Xenopus tropicalis: one gene and its partner. The protein of the gene in region 1 purifies or fractionates together with the protein of each later gene. This does not show direct contact. Links are inferred from orthologs where the notes say so. Each region holds a gene or a part of one and is shown in the gene's direction. Other genes may lie near its edges.

Evidence for each region. The genes of interacting proteins can lie anywhere in the genome.
Region 2: the proteins of cav1 (region 1) and trpc1 purify together in Homo sapiens (affinity purification with western blotting; 3 studies listed by BioGRID and IntAct, with this or other methods). This does not show direct contact. The link is inferred for Xenopus tropicalis from reciprocal best matches to the Homo sapiens genes CAV1 and TRPC1.

The regions. Positions count from the first base shown.
Region 1 is NC_030679.2:68,066,431-68,074,626, forward strand, and holds part of cav1 (caveolin-1), read left to right. Parts: intron 1-3,572; coding exon 3,573-3,743; intron 3,744-8,196. UniProt on the Homo sapiens protein: May act as a scaffolding protein within caveolar membranes. Forms a stable heterooligomeric complex with CAV2 that targets to lipid rafts and drives caveolae formation. Mediates the recruitment of CAVIN proteins (CAVIN1/2/3/4) to the caveolae.
Region 2 is NC_030681.2:119,712,747-119,720,942, forward strand, and holds part of trpc1 (short transient receptor potential channel 1), read left to right. Parts: intron 1-1,494; coding exon 1,495-1,649; intron 1,650-2,076; coding exon 2,077-2,178; intron 2,179-2,790; coding exon 2,791-2,993; intron 2,994-4,561; coding exon 4,562-4,693; intron 4,694-4,869; coding exon 4,870-5,065; intron 5,066-5,293; coding exon 5,294-5,630; intron 5,631-8,196. UniProt on the Homo sapiens protein: Forms a receptor-activated non-selective calcium permeant cation channel. Forms a heteromeric ion channel with TRPC4 or TRPC5 that has reduced calcium permeability compared to the homomeric TRPC4 or TRPC5 channel.

The DNA.
Region 1 (8,196 bases):
ATATCAGTTTACATATGAATACATACTATGTGTATACAGTACCATTTTAGGATGTAGGTGAGGTATGTATAGTGGTGTGTCAAAATGCCTCTGGTTAGTGGTTTTAGCTGGATTTCCACTGTACACATATGGAAAGAAGGCAGCCAGAATCATGGACCACAGCTAAAGTAACACTTTATTCACATGTACAGTCTAATAACACTATGGATGGAGGGACAGATGTGATGTACAATAATCGCAACGAGAAAAAGTTACCTATAGGTCACGTTGATCGTTTTTCACTGATAGGGCTGCTTTTGTAAGTAATTGTTACTTGAAGTTCCTAAACCTGTTTTTTTAACCTGACTGTACCTTCTCAACCTGTCAGTTATAGCTTCTAATGCTAATGGACTCCTGCTGCACAAATGTGGCAGCCCCCTCATATAGGAACATGAGGATTGGATGTGTAATGAAAAAAAGCCAAAGACAACAAAAAGACAATGTTGTTGCAAAAAGGGTTTCATTTCTGGTTGCAGTATCTCTTTAAGAAAAATGGGCCTTCAGGATGCCACTGAATGGAAGAGAAGAGTCTGATTCTAGCAATAGACAAGAAAGCACAAAAGATGTAGAAAGAGGTTACTGGGGGATGAAGGAAGCATAAAGGCATCTATTTTGAAGGAGGATATTGCATGGCAGTGTTAAGAGCCTAAACAGGAATTAAGGATCTGGTTATTAGGGGCATGTCAGGAGATGGTTTTAGCAATGCTATGTAGACATGGAGATGGCTTAATGGATTTCTGAAAAGAGCAGGAGTCAAAATGTTAGGCATCCCTCAGTGAATTAAATCGCTACTGAACCTTTAAAATTAACTATATGAATTGATTTTTAAACTAAAGTTCCATTTAATGTGCTTTTTATGATCTGCCATTTAAACTATAATCTAGGTTACTAGGTCCAATCAGTGTTTTTTAACGTCACTATGAAAGATCAATAGACAAAGGCCTAAATAGTAAAAGACAGAATTTAAAATTAAAAAAAAAAATAATTGCAAAGTGCAAAGATCAAGCACCGTCAGTATATGTCTGTGGAGGGCCTACATTGCCCACTGCAGAATTATCACATCTGCTGACTGTACATAATTATGACTTTGTTTCTTATCATTTTATGCACTTCTTTTGCTTCTTCTGAATCAATTTTATTAACCTGAATAAATTATAGGAAAAATGTGTTTTGGAAGAAAACAAGGGAGAAGTAGGACACACTGTATATAAAAGACAAAAATTGTATTGTTCAGTGCTTGGCTTGTGGCAGAGGAAAACGGGAGGTTCCCAGTTGGCAACCAGATAAATGATGTGACAGAGAAGTATAACCTGAGGATGTCCAACTTTTGTAAAATATTTCTTGGCATCGCTAATCCTGTTTTGTAGACAAAATGGTTTCATCCCAAAGGTGTGTAAAGCTGGCTATACATAACCAGATCTGGTCAGGGAGTTTGGACGATTTTGACCACACTACCTAAACATCTAAATATGTCAGGTGGGGGGGGGATCTGAACTGGCCAGTTTGCAATCCTGTTGGTTGAAGATGGTCTCTCCAGTTTGACAGTATTTCATCTGCTCATGCCTATACCAAACCATTTTATTCATCATATTATGTTATTTAGATATGGGCCCTACAGCCCTAATTGTAATAGCACATCAGACGTTACAGAAAAAGTGTCCACCACATCTGACTTAACCCTGCCCTCTTCAAACCTGAACCTGCCCCAATCCGGCCAGCTGTAATTTTTTATATACACGTGCCTGCCCCTCTCTGATATAACTGAAGTCAGCAGGGAGGGGGGAGAGCATATATAAGAGCAACAGCAGGTGGGCAAAAGAGATAATGATGTCATGGGGGGAGGGGGGCGTGGGAATAGTTTGGCCCTCCATTCACCTGCCACAAGCAAAAAAAGTGATTGGCCTGCCCAAACTCACATCACTAGTCCATGGCTACCATCCATCAGAAAGAAGCAGGGGTATAGAATGCCTTGTCTGCTTGTCACCATTCTTAATGGTACTTAAAGGAAAGGGTCCTGACTGCATGCCTGTTATTGACTAAAATTAGGAGTGAGGTCTACAGTGGACTAGTGATGTGTGGGTCAGGAAATATTCAACCCAAAATGTTAGGTCGCTAATATAAAATAGATCACTAAGTGCTCCTGCTAGGAACCTGCGGAAAAAACTGGAGCGATGCATCAACATTTTACTCCACTTTCTACTGCGGCCCCAGGCATCCCCAGTGTTAATTCCTGTTCATGCAAGCGCAATAGTGCATACCCGAGATTTTACTCTACTGCGTATGTGCAGAATGCCAAGTGCCAAGGAAGGAGATGACAGTGTGGCACTCAATTTTTTCCACAGGTTCTTTCCTAAAAGGAGCACCAGCCTAGGGAAAAAAACTTAGCAATCTATTTCACTGGGGGGATGTAATGTCCAATATGTGAATAATGGCAAACATTGTGATTCTGAGCATTTTGTTTCCCACTATGCTCAAGCCCTATTTAAAGTGAATGGGAAGAGCATTTTAAGGATTTAGCATCTTCCCATAGTGCTACAGAGTGCAGGAAGGCAGTGTGCCATTAACCTTATGGGATCTGAATATCATTTGCAATGGAATAATACATAGTACAGGTATCGGACCTCTTATACGGAAACCCATTATCCAGAAAGTTCAGAATTACGGAAAGGCCATCTCCCATAAACTCCATTTTAAACAAAGAGTTCACATTTTTGAGAATGATTTCCTTTTTCTCTGTAATAATAAAACAGAACCTTGTACTTGTTTCCAAACTAAGATATAATTAATCTATATTGGAGCCAAAACAATCCTATTGGGTTTATTTAATGTTTAAATCATTTTTTTTTTAACAGACTTAAGGTAGGAGATCCGAATTACAGAAAGACCCCTTATCTGGAAAACCCCAGGTCCCAAGCATTCTGGATAACGGGTCCCATACCTGTACCATAACCATATACACTAGAGCTTTTGAAACAAACATATTTTCTTCAGTGCAGTGCAACAGTACATTACATTTAAATGTACTTAAAACCCTTGTTTTTGTATTTACTGGTCTGGCTGTGAGGGGATTTGGGGGTTATGGTTTGATTACAGCTGGAGGATTACAGAGCTACATTTACTGGTTCGCAACAGCGCTGAGCCCTTTGGTAGTCCAGTCGAATTGCAGCCGCTTTGTACAAAGGGCAGTGAGGGCTGCAGGAATGGAGGGCGCCCTCGGGTGTGGTGCGAAAGGAAACTTTCGGGGTGTGGCAGGGGGGTTGCCTGCCTGGGAGGGGTCCGAGGGGGATCGGAATCCCCTAGGAATGAGGAATATTCCCGATCCGATGACCCCTGCTGGAGAGAGTCCGTGCTGCGGTACAGAGGGGTGTGGTGTGGTGCATGGAGCCAGTTATAAGCCAAGCCTTAGTAGCACCGTGTGAGAGGAGTAAGCGCAGCTCTGTGCCACAGCTCTCACCCCCTATTCCCATCTATGGTGGCACTGCGCTAACGCTTGTCTTTTCTCTTCTTCGCTCTCGGCCGTCCCGCTCCCCCAGGGTGTGCTCTACACCACGCCGGTTATCAGAGAGCACGGCAACATCTACAAGCCCAATAACAAGACCATGGCAGGTGAGACCCTGATGGATACAGCTGCCCGGGACGTGCACACTAAGGAGATCGATCTGGTCAACAGGGACCCCAAGCACCTGAATGACGATGTGGTGAAGGTAAGACTGGAGTTATGTGCCATGTACTGACACTAGGTTAATGTGAGAAAGTTATATTGTTACATTGACTTGTGCCAGGGAGACGTCCCTTATCTCGGGGACTATAGACTTGTTCTGCACTTTAGGCCAGTGGTTTCCAAACTTTGGGGCTGGTCATGCTAGTGGGGCGTATTTGCTCTACTATATACTTTACTCAATAAAATAAATGTAAAGGTCATTTAGGGTGAGATTTGAAGTAAACTTATATTTGGTCTTTTGGATATTCTTGTAACTATGTTTTTATAGCAGATATAGCAATGTTAATATATAGCTTCCTTCAACGTTGTTATTATCTGGAGGGGGGTAACTGTGACCCCCGTAGAGTGAACCTGAAATGATCAAGTCCCAAAACCAGTGTATAGTGAGAGTATAGCATCCCAGTATTCACAATTCATATCATCCCATTCCAAATCATAGGAGCACAAGGAGATTTAGCACACTCTGTCGGTATAACATACACAGTGCTGATAAAGCACAGGCACATCATGCAGTTAGGGCTGAAGGGTTAAAGGGAAAGGTCCCCCTGTATGACAGGCAGCAGGCCATGTAAGTTGTGACATTTTTACACTTGGCTCATTTGTTTTCCCCTCTGAGCTTGGGAACAAAATGTTTGGAAAGTTGTCAGAGAGATGTTTGTGGTTTTTGGAAAGTGAGTTGGGAAGGCTTTAAGTGAATCCACCCTTTTTCTGTCATAGTCTTATTGGATATAATAGAGGATTTTGAGGCCCCTCCCTTAAATGACCAGGTGCTAAGGAAAAATGTTCCCTTAAATCTGGGCTGCACATACTGTACTCCAGAAATCCAATAAACCGCCATCCCTAGTATGATTCATTATATTTGCCCTCCAAGTTGTTTAATATTCTCTGGGACCAAGAACTCACAGACCTATGTCCTCATGTAACTAGCTCTCTTCTCATAATGCCAACATATCACTGCCAGGTATATAGGCCATATAGAATTGTGACCATGGGGAAGAATTTTAATGTCTTCTATAAAGATACATACATAGCAGTATCCCAACACCACCATTCCTACTCAATATCTGGTACCCACAGTTGTGAGTCTTGTGCTGTCCCACAAACATTTTGGTAAATTGTACAGTATGACTTGCACACATACAGTGTGGGCTACTACAATACAGTTGTACTTGCATGGTTGGCAACAGATACGTACGATGGGATTGGGGTAGAGTGCAATTTTGTGATTGATCTGTCGTTCTGTTCCACCATGGTTGACAACTGTATCATATTTCATTTAAAACCATTGCTAGTGTAAAGCTAGCTCTTTGAGGTTCACTCTGCTGTATAAGGAGCCCTGGTGTATGCTTCAGTTAACCTATTTTTTATATTAGGGGTAACTGGAGAATATACCACAGCTGCATGTCTTTTACAGCCCAAAGATGGGTGGGGTTTCCAAAACTTCATAGTTCAGCAGCAGACATGATCTAAGGTGCTAGTGAGAATTGCAGCAAATAAATGGCCTAGTGCATGTAAATTATTCATGTACCTTTATACATTGATGCTTACATGTCAATACAAATATACTAACAATTATAACAAATTATTAGTGCTAGGCATGGTGCAAAGTGCAAAAAATGGCACAAACTCTATGTTTCTTGGATGTTTGCACCCTGGGTGGGTGGTATTTGTGGCAGATCTGCAAACGGCTTGATGTAATTAAATATAGGGAAATATGGTTCAGGACCTAAAATAAACAGCTCAGTGTCATACTAACATGATGTAATTGCAACAGGATATGACTGAATTTAACAGCACCACAATCTACTAAAAATATGGACTAACTGGGCCAAGTCAAAAATTTAGAAAGTGGGGTTTTTGGCGCACCCTAAAATTACAGGGCCCATTATTTATGCCCTCGCCATATACTAATATCTACAGTTAGTATTAGTGGTTGTATATATAGTTTATGTATGGGAGTGTATAGATTGGTAGGTGTGGGTTGTGTGTGCTGGGTTTACTTGGATGGGTTGAACTTGATGGACTCTGGTCTTTTTTCAACCCTATGTAACTATGTAACTATTTGCTGCATTTTATACTGCATTTGCATTGCAGTTTATTGTGTACCACAAAGCTGCAACATGTGTTAATTGATCTCATTTTTCTTTATGTGTCCGTGACTGAGATCAAAGTTGAATACAGACAAAAAGGGACACATTCTACTTTTTTCAGTAGAGAGAGTGTAACAACCAGAAAGGAAGAATGAGTGCATTTAACTCATGCATTTCTAATGATTTATAACAGGCCTCACTGTAATGATAAAGAGATAATTATCCATATACATATCAGCATTCTAATTATTTAAATTATTTTGTGCAGTATCTATGTAAGCTCATAAAAAAGACTTAGGGGATGATTTACCAACTCCAAAAGAGTCAGTGGTAGCTTTAAACTAAACAGTTGTTTTAGTGTAGAAATTATACAAATTGATTTGACTCAAAATATTTCATGATTTCACACATAAAGTGTCAAATCATTTAAACTTTCCTGACTGTCAGGATATGGGTTTCTGCACCTTGGCAAACTTTGAGCCTTCATTACAAATGTGAGCATGAGTTTAAACCACATTCAACAGCTTTGCTAAACTTTCCAGTGGCTAGAAGCTCATGGTGCATACCCAATGGAAAAGGCCAGCAAACTTTATCCTGTGAGATCAAGGAATTTGCTTTGGGATATCCAAAGAAGTTAGTAAAATGAATAATGCAAACCACCTGCCGAGACAGTTGAGTGGAAAACATTGCACTGACACAACATACGCAGAATATGGTGTGACTTCCAAGCACAATTTGCAGCTGCATGGAAAGTATGAAGACGCTCCCACTCTGTCAGTGTGCTGAATCTGGTCACAAGTATATGGAAACTAAATGCACATAAATCAGCTATGAAAGATACAATAAACTTGGCATTGAACCTGCTCTGTAAGCATCACATTCCATGCTGCTAGGAGGGAAACACCTTCCAGGTTTATTTTTCATGCAATGATGTGAACTTGTCACCTTGGAAAATGTTATCTCTGGATTTTTACAAAAATGCTGTTTTGTTGTCTCAGAGGAAATCCGGCAATAACCCAGTGGTAAGCATAACCCTCCCTACAGAATTTACACTGCCCTTCAGTGGAAAACAGCAGTGACCAAATGCCCCATCCTCCTGTCTTAGCTTCTAATTTTATTGATTAAATTGCCCTGTCTTGTGCATGAGGAGAGGTGAGAGATGGACCATGGCACCAAAACGCTCTATTGATCACCACTGTTCCCTCCCTAAAATGTTCATGTTCCATTACCATAATTTTATCTGCTACAATTCTGCTATGCACACAGGACCGCTGTCAAGGTGTGTCTGAACCACAGACCCCATGACAGCTGAATCCTGTCCCAAAATGCATCAGTAGGCTTATGTTCCCTTGTTAGACTGCATCACACAAGCCTAATCTTAGTACAAAAAAATTGCATTAAGTTTACATCAGGGTATACTACATTCTGAGTTATTATGAAATTAGACAGTAATATTAAAGTCAGTTAGGCATTAGCTTTGCTTACTTTGTTGCAGGTTAGATCATGAAATCAAATATCCGGGCCAAGCATTTTTACATTATGTGGGTGTCCTTCACTATACGTTTGTAGCTGTCTGACACTCACTTTTTCATAAGGCCATGCAATTCTTGCAGGGAAATTACTCTAGTTATGTTATCTTTATTATTAGAATCCCTTCCCACACACTGCTTTGCTCTCTCCTCTTTCTTGGTGAAAGGATTTAGTTGCCTTATTCAGTATATGCACAATGGATTACTGTTTGACAATCATCTGTTTAAAACAGTAACTTCACTCAGTACACAGGTGGCAATGTATTACTTTAAAAACTTGACATGGTAAAATGTTTCTTTGGTTTCACGGGCAAATTGCAACTGGAAAATAAAATTTTTGTTACATTCTTTCCCAGTGTCACACAAGTGTGTCACTGAGTGGAAATAACTGCTATGTAAGTAATTATGCCTCTGCCTAGAACAATGGGCCATGAAAGCAGTTATGTCAACTTCCCACTCTACAGCTGTAATGTGAAATTCCACATCATGCCTTTGACATGGCAGAGAATGACTGTTGCAGCATAAAAGCTTACCTACAGGAAAGAAGCAAATGATGTACTTTAAGGTTAATGTCACACATGCCATTTTTTCTGCCACTGCAGAAAACCACTTGCAAAAAATCACCTTACGACTTCTGGCGCCTACTGCCCTTAGCTACAATGGCATCTGCCTGTACACACAGGGCAGATGTTGGCTGAAAAATGCACACCAGCATTTCTGTTGTCCTGCGTGCATAATTATGGATGATATTGTAATCAGTGGCTCTGAGGAGCAGCAGTCATGGGCTTTAGTAACATTTCATTAGCCTTAGAGACAT
Region 2 (8,196 bases), on another chromosome or scaffold:
CACACATGTTTACATCCTGGCTTACAGTTTACATTATGGCCCTAAATATTACTTCTTATCTCTTTCAAACCCTTAATGTCTTATAGTAGAGCTTGTTTTTGTCTCCTGCCTTTGTATCTCAAGCTCATCGCTATATTATCATTACTGGAGATTGTATAATGCTGAAAAGTTATTCTAAAATTTAACATACTGTATATGTATTCATATAGCTATACATACACTTTTTATGCTTATTATATTTTCTGTAAATGTGCAATGTTTACTAGCATTTGCTTTTTGTTTCATTTGTATTTAGCTAATAGAATAACCGAAAAACATACATATAGTTAAATTTTAAAGTCTTTTCTTACTTCAGAAAAGATTATGCCTGGTCTTACAGATATTTGGTCTCTTTTAAGAATCCATTGGCTACAGAGAGCCATGTTTGCACCTTTGCTGGCACATCCAGAGCTGGGTGCAAAGGGGCCCTTTATTTAATGCCCATCATTAGCAGGCAATATTTTAGGGCTCTGAATCAGCACACAGGTACTCCGTACCTGCCTTCTAAGTAACATGTATTTGTTACACCACTTTTCTAGTGGAGGCACAAAGAGTTGCGCTCAGGTAGTGCTGCACAAGGGCAAGGTGCATTGTAGGCCCATAGCATGACACCTTGGCTCCTGTTCATCAATGAGCCCTGTTGTAATCCTCCTTACCTCCTCCCAAAGCCCTCCTGTCAGCATAGGGCATGGTTAAGCAGCCAAGGAGATATATTTTTTTGTAGTTGGCACAGTCCTCACAGCAGTCTGTGTCAACTGACGCATCTTACTTGCACCTAAACAATTGGGCACAGATGTAATTTTGACAGCGAGCACTGGAAACAAAGACATACCAAAGATTCACAGCAATTCGCAGTTGCATTTATTTTAACACATTGCCGTAATTGCACCTCCACCTTGTGGGTTCAGTTACACTGGAACTGTGGGAAAAAAATGCTGCATTGAGGTAAGAGATACAATGACTTGCACCCAATATAGAACTTGCCACTGCAGTAGCACTCATGAATGAAAGTCAGTCATAGATATCCCCCTGTATTAAGTACAAAAAAGAAAGAAAACTGTAGTTATTTGTGGTATTTCCCATTCTGCTTTCAATGGCAAGTAGCTCCCTGTACCTGGCTGAATGTATGCTTGGATACATCATTGGTTACAGAGCATCTCCACACTAATGTAATAAATTAGTTTTATTCTGAAAGAAAAGCCATCAGCGTGTATTGTCTTTAGAATCCATATTTAGTCTCCTTAAAAGAAGTGGTGGACCTCTGTGCATACTCATTACATATTATATGATTCTACCCAGACCGCAGCTTGAGCTGAGTACAAGGTCAATTTCATTGTGTATACAAACCAGGACATAATCGGCCAGGTTCTTGTCCATACTAACGTTCTGAGGCTGCATTAGTCTTATTAAGAATTATTAACCAATAAGGCGCTAATGGCTAACTCTGTACTGCAGGTGATTACTATATGGTGAAAAAGCTTTTGGAAGAAAACAGCTCAGAAGAACTGAACATCAATTCAGTGGATGTACTAGGGAGAAATGCCATCACTATTTCCATTGAAAATGAGAACTTGGATATCCTGCAGCTTCTCCTCAATTATGGTTGCCAGGTAAATAAGTAACATCTGTACCTCCTACTCTTTCCAACTGGCCGTGCAACAGCAGGAAACTAAGCATATCTAGATATTCTGCTGCTGTCCAAATTGATACACCGAGAACTCTAAACTGTTTTGAAAAAAATAATATAAAAATGTTCTCGTTAAAGCCATAGATATGCAGAGCCCATACTAAGCTTGGCTGTCCTCATGATTATTCAAATAATAACTTTAATGTATTTATTACTTGTAAGTGAGTACAGTAAAATTAGACAGAGGTACATACAGTATACAACATAGCCAAAAGTATCCAGATGGTGTATATATATAATTACAACAAACATCTGCATATTTTTTTACACATTCTCTTTTTTCATCAACTATCTTGCCTAAAATTTAGATTTTATATCTTATTTATAGAGTGTTTATTGTGTTTTATCAGTCTACTGATGCCCTCCTTGTGGCAATTGACTCTGAGGTGGTGGGAGCTGTGGATATCTTGTTAAATCATCAACCAAAATGGAGAACAAGACCAACTATTGTAGTAAGTCATATGCCATGCAGGTTTGCATTTTACTTTCTGGACACTTCAGCAAAATAAGATGGACTAGATTTAATAATGGTTCATATAAGACTAGGAATATTTTCTGATTTCTTTTGTAAATGTTGTAATTATTGCCATATAAAAATAGTATGAGCAATGTAGATGTGGGTGTACAGAACACTACTCTTTGGGGGTTATGTAATAAAAGACAGACTGGGGCTCATTTATCAACACTGGGCAAATTTGCCCATGGACAGTAACACATAGCAACCAATTAGATTGCCTTTTTTAGCCAGGTGCTGGTAGGTTTTCATAAAATTAAAAAAAGGTAAACAGTACTAAAATGTGACAACAAATTGAGTCTCACAATTAAAACGATCAGTGCCTGATTCCCTTTGCCATAAGCCACAGCACATTCTAAGTCTGCTAAGGGGAACATATCCAGTGGGACAGTGCAATAATCAATATATCAAAGTCAGGTCAGTCTCTGTTGTATTGTAGCTATAAAAAAAACAGTAGGCATCATAATGGGAAGCAAGTTCAAGCTTTGCAGGGAAAACTCACCCATTATATAGATTCTGGTCTGATTGACACATTTGCCCTATATTGCAGAAACTTATGGAGCGAATTCAAAATCCAGAATATTCCACCACCATGGATGTGGCTCCTGTAATCCTGGCTGCTCACCGGAATAACTACGAGATTCTTACCATGCTTCTGAAACAGGATGTCTCTCTCCCAAAGCCTCATGCTGTGGGCTGTGAGTGCACCCTTTGTACAGCCAAGAACAAGAAGGACAGTTTGAGACACTCCAGGTTAGGATTATCAAACTCAGCTGACAATGCAAAATATCTGTTTTGATCAAGATTTAGAAAGAATTATAAATAAATATCCAGTTTAGGATTGGTGGCTGAATTTGCAGCAGCTGGAAGGCTTTGATACTCATGTGTCAAATACTTTACTGCTGACTGTATACACAAGCAATGCCCAACAGGCAACCAGGGGGGCACGTAGTGTGGGAGCCATGCAAGCTTTCTAAGCTCAGCTGTGGCCCAGATGCTACACCCCCCAGGAAGCTTTTGTCTTCTGTACACTTTATTTTTATGGAGCATGGAAAAATGTTTGTATTCACACACAGTACAAGAATGATTTAGTACATAAAATACTTAATATTGTTGCACTTTGTTAAAGTAAGTACAATGATTTGTGCATATAAGTGCTGCAGGTCAAGTCAACATAGAGAAGAATTTGGGGAGCATTTTATTTCCCAGAATAACAACATTTTCCTGCACAATAACAACAAATATTTAAAACATTGGGGGCATTACAACAACAAATACCTATTGTGAATACGTTGTACTATTTGTAACACTTTTAGGACTGCATTTTTTCATCAATTTTGACCCTTGAGTAGGTATTCAGAGGGATTTGTGTATGAATAAAACTTTTGAGCAGATCTAGTAAATAGTCAGCATGTTTGCCTTACACCAGACCAGTAATTACTAACTGCTGATTGGTTGCTATAGCATACAAGACCAGGAAAGTCTGACCCCTGTTATTCTATAACCCAAAGTGTGTCTGAATGGGCAGTGTACAGAGCTGCCCGATATAGAATAAAAAGTAATGTCATTTAGAATTAGGAAGGACCACACTGTGCATAAGAACTGCTATCTGTGGTGTATTTTATTAAAAAAATATGTATTTATGTTGCATGATTTTATTTCAGGTTCCCACTGTTAATGGCTCTGTGTATTCACACTTACAGCATCACATAATCTTAATTGAGCTTCAGATATAAAACCTGTCCATAAATATATACATTTGACAAGGGCTTTACATTCAAGGTCAATGGCAAATGTGCCCAGGGTCTTGGGAAAATGATTAAAGTTTGCCTGAGCAATAACAGCTAAGAGGCCAAAGACCCAAAATTGCCTCCTCATTTATTTCAATGGCAATCATCTGAACCTACAGGGCAATCAGCTGACCATTGGGTCAAGGCAATTGCCCCTGAAATTACTATGTAGTAATTCCAAGGATTATGTCACCTTCTGATTAACTAGAAAATCCCCAGGTGAGTCGACACAATGCCCTGAATTACCTGAGTGCCATTGCCCTAAGGCAATGTTTTTACTGTTTTAGGCAGTCCATTTCCAGCTGCTCTTGAGCCATAATTTGAAGTATCCTGGCAGCTGCATCTACAAGAGACGGTCAAGATTATATATTTACCTAAGTTGTGTTTGTGTTGTGCACCAGATTCTTTGCAGAATCTAGGATTTATTGCACCTACAAAAAAGCATTTCACAAAGGGTCCGCAGCTTTATTCATTCTAGGAGGTCAGATATTTCACAGTAGTACCGGTAACAATGCTTGTATTTTATTACAGGTTTCGACTTGATATCTATCGATGCCTGGCCAGTCCAGCTCTAATTATGCTGACTGAGGAGGATCCAATTCTGCGGGCCTTTGAACTCAGTGCAGATTTAAAAGAGCTTAGCCTTGTAGAAGTGGAATTTCGGTGAGAATAACCATCACACAAATATTTGACCTATATAAATAATTATTTTCTAAAATATTTCATGGTGATTTCTAAAAGGAGCAGCACTTTTCTGTCATGCAGTCAAACTGAAACACCAAATAGTAGGTTCCTTTCATCTGACCTTTTTGTTTTTTATCACAACATGTTGACTTCAGAAACGATTATGAAGAACTTGCTCAAAAGTGTAAGACATTTGCTAAAGACTTGTTGGCCCAGGCCCGGAATTCTCGAGAGCTGGAAGTCATCCTAAACCACCAATCGAGTGATGAGCCTGTAGACAAGAGAGGGCTGCTTGAGGAGCGCATGAACTTGAGCCGATTGAAACTCGCTATCAAGTACAATCAAAAGGAGGTAGGAGTCTGGGAAGACACTATTCTAGAAAGCTCAACTTCTAGAAAGATGACTAACAAATTAGGTGCTGTACAACACTTTACCTCAATCGAATATTACAGAGAAGTGTGAAACAAAATGGCACCCACCCCTTTGCTTACATTTACATTTTACATAAGTTTGCATCGCTTTAACTGCAGTCTTATTTTACAAATACTAGTTTCTCTTTTCTTTCTTCTTACTTTCCAGTTTGTATCCCAGTCCAACTGCCAGCAATTTCTGAATACTGTCTGGTTTGGCCAAATGGCAGGGTACAGACGGAAACACACCTGCAAAAAGATATTGATTGTCCTTACCGTTGGAATTTTTTGGCCAGTCCTCTCCGTGTGCTACTTGCTAGCTCCCAAATCCCAAGTTGGACGTATAATTCATACCCCGTTTATGAAATTTATTATACATGGAGCTTCTTACTTCACTTTCCTGCTGCTTCTTAACCTATATTCTTTGGTTTACAATGAGGATAAGAAGAACACCATGGGGCCAGCGTTAGAGAGAATCGATTTCCTTCTTATTATGTGGCTGATAGGTAAGTTCCATGTTGTTGCAATACTTCTCATGACAAACCAATCTGGTTATTGCTATATTGAATACAATACTTGTTGTTTATGGTTACTGTAGAGCAGAGGTGCCACCAGCAATTCACATTACATATATAGCCTCATAGCAGAGCATTGCAGAATGACCAAGTCAACAGCTTATTGGCCCCTGTGTGGGGCCCTACGTTTGGCCCCACACAAGTCAGCCACATATTGTTCAGGTAGATGTAACAATCAAATTAGCCAAGGAATGCACCTCAAGGTAGGCATAACAGTAAAAGATCCACTTGTTTGTCTGCGTTGCCAAATAAGCTTATCTTTACATTTATGGCCACCTGAAGAAGGTGGTTTCTCCCAGCCAAGGTGGTTTGCAACCAGCCATAGTTCCGCTATCTTTGCAGGACTTTCTGACAACAATAATTAATTTCTAAATATGACTGCGCACAAAAGCTAAAATATCAATATAATTGTATTCATGGTACTTGGGAATAAGTTTAAATGGCAGTGTTACTTGTATTTCCCAACCCAGAACAAATTTTCACACAAATAGTGTAGAGCATCTCCGTCTTCACTAAGGGCTTACCTCCCTTAGGGCCCACTCCTACTAGGGCTCTCCAGACTCATCCACCCTGCTCGGTAGGTGGGAGAGCCACTTTTTTTTCAATTGCTTTATCAAACTAATAGGAAGCACTCATGTATATCCCTAGGCCAATGGGGAACACTTAACCCACTCAGGTAACATGGATACAGGTCCAGGACATAGTAGCTGGGTGGGTCCCTGCCAGTAGCAAGAGTAGCAAGAAAAAAGAATTTAAACATATCCAGCCTCTTTACAAAACACATCCCATAGGCTAGGGTCAGCAAGTGTATAACTAGCTAATTATGATATATCGGTAAGATATATCATATGCTACAATCAGCATGTGTATGTCAGACTGCGTGATGGAAGACATACCATATGCATGAGTCAGCATGTTTACATCAGGCTACTGTTCCACCATCATGCTGTGATTCTCTACACTACAAAACAGTTACAATATTACTTATTTTATAGGCTGTCTGTCAAGGATGCTGCATTTTGTATTGCAACAACTGGAGGAAGCAGGTTGTTCATTAGAGATCTGTGTAACTCCTCCCTACCTTCTTCTCTAACTTTGGTCCTAGACACAGTTATATTTATTTAAAATCAACACCCACTATGAGCACACACACATATGTATATATATTTCATTTTTCCTGGGAGACTCAGGTAAGACATATATGTCAAAGGATAATTTTGCTTTGACAAGTGGGCTTTGTTGATTATTAATAATATTAGCCCATTGGGAGTCAATACATGTTTTGATTTGGTCAGCCACCTACATAGCAAAATTTGTTTACTGCCAAGCTGAGTAACTTTACTCATTTCACCCCATGTTCTTCTAAATGATCTCTGTTTGCGAAACTGCGGCTTGCTATGGAACCAGGCAGACTGTTTACACAAATCTGGAAACTGCAGTAGCACACATCTATCTTGCAAATAGCCTAGAACATAATCTTTCTTCTGGACGTGCTTGTGATTCCCTTCCTTACAGTTTTTATACTAAATAAAATAGATAAGGAACAAAAGTACTGCAACTAGCACTGAATAATGCCATCTCTTCCTTGCAAAGCCCTAATTATAGGCACAGATTATTTAGAGATGCTGACTATACAGATGAAAAAGATTGAATTTTACCCTCTTTGAAATTGTGGAGACAAGGAACTGTTTTGCACAAATATATTAAAACTAGGCGCCTCCCATTCCTTCTGTTCTTCTGCATTCAGCCACTCCAGTGCTCTGGGGATACTGTTTCTATTGTTATACCCATGAAGATATCTTAGCATCTTTAAAGGACAAGGAAAGTCTAAGTCACTTGGGGGTGCCAAAATGTTAGGCACCCCCAAGTGACTTAAATCGCTTACCTTGTACCCTGGGCTGGTGCCCCTGTTAGGAGAAAACAGAACCAGCCCGGAGTACCTGGAGCGATGCGCTTCCTCCTTCCTGATCGCACTGCTGCTGATTGTCCCGGACAGGTGCAGTAGAGTGAAAAGCAGACTTCTCTGTTAAAGTTCCGCTTTTCACTCTACTGCGCATGTGCGCACACACGCGATCAGGAAGAAGGAAGCGATTGCTGCTACCTCGGGCTGGTGCTGTTCTCTCCGTACAGGGGCACCAGCCCGGGGTAAAAGGTAAGCGATTTAAGTCACTTGGGGGTGCCTAACATTTTAGCACCCCCAAGTGACTTAGACTTTCCTTCTCCTTTAAAGAAACAAGAGACCTTTTCTGGTAAAATTAAGGTCTGTTGGTCTTAGTGAAGTCGTTTGCACATGGATAGAAAACTGGCTACAGGATCGGGTACAGAGGGTGGTTGTTAATGGAAAATTCTTTATTTGGAGTAAAGTTCTGCCATCCTTGCAGCAGGATCTTGACAAACTGGCAATCTGGGCAGCTAAGTGGCAGATGAGATTTAATGTGGATAAATGTAAGGTCATGCACCTGGGATGTAAAAATATGCAAGCCCCGTATACCCTTAA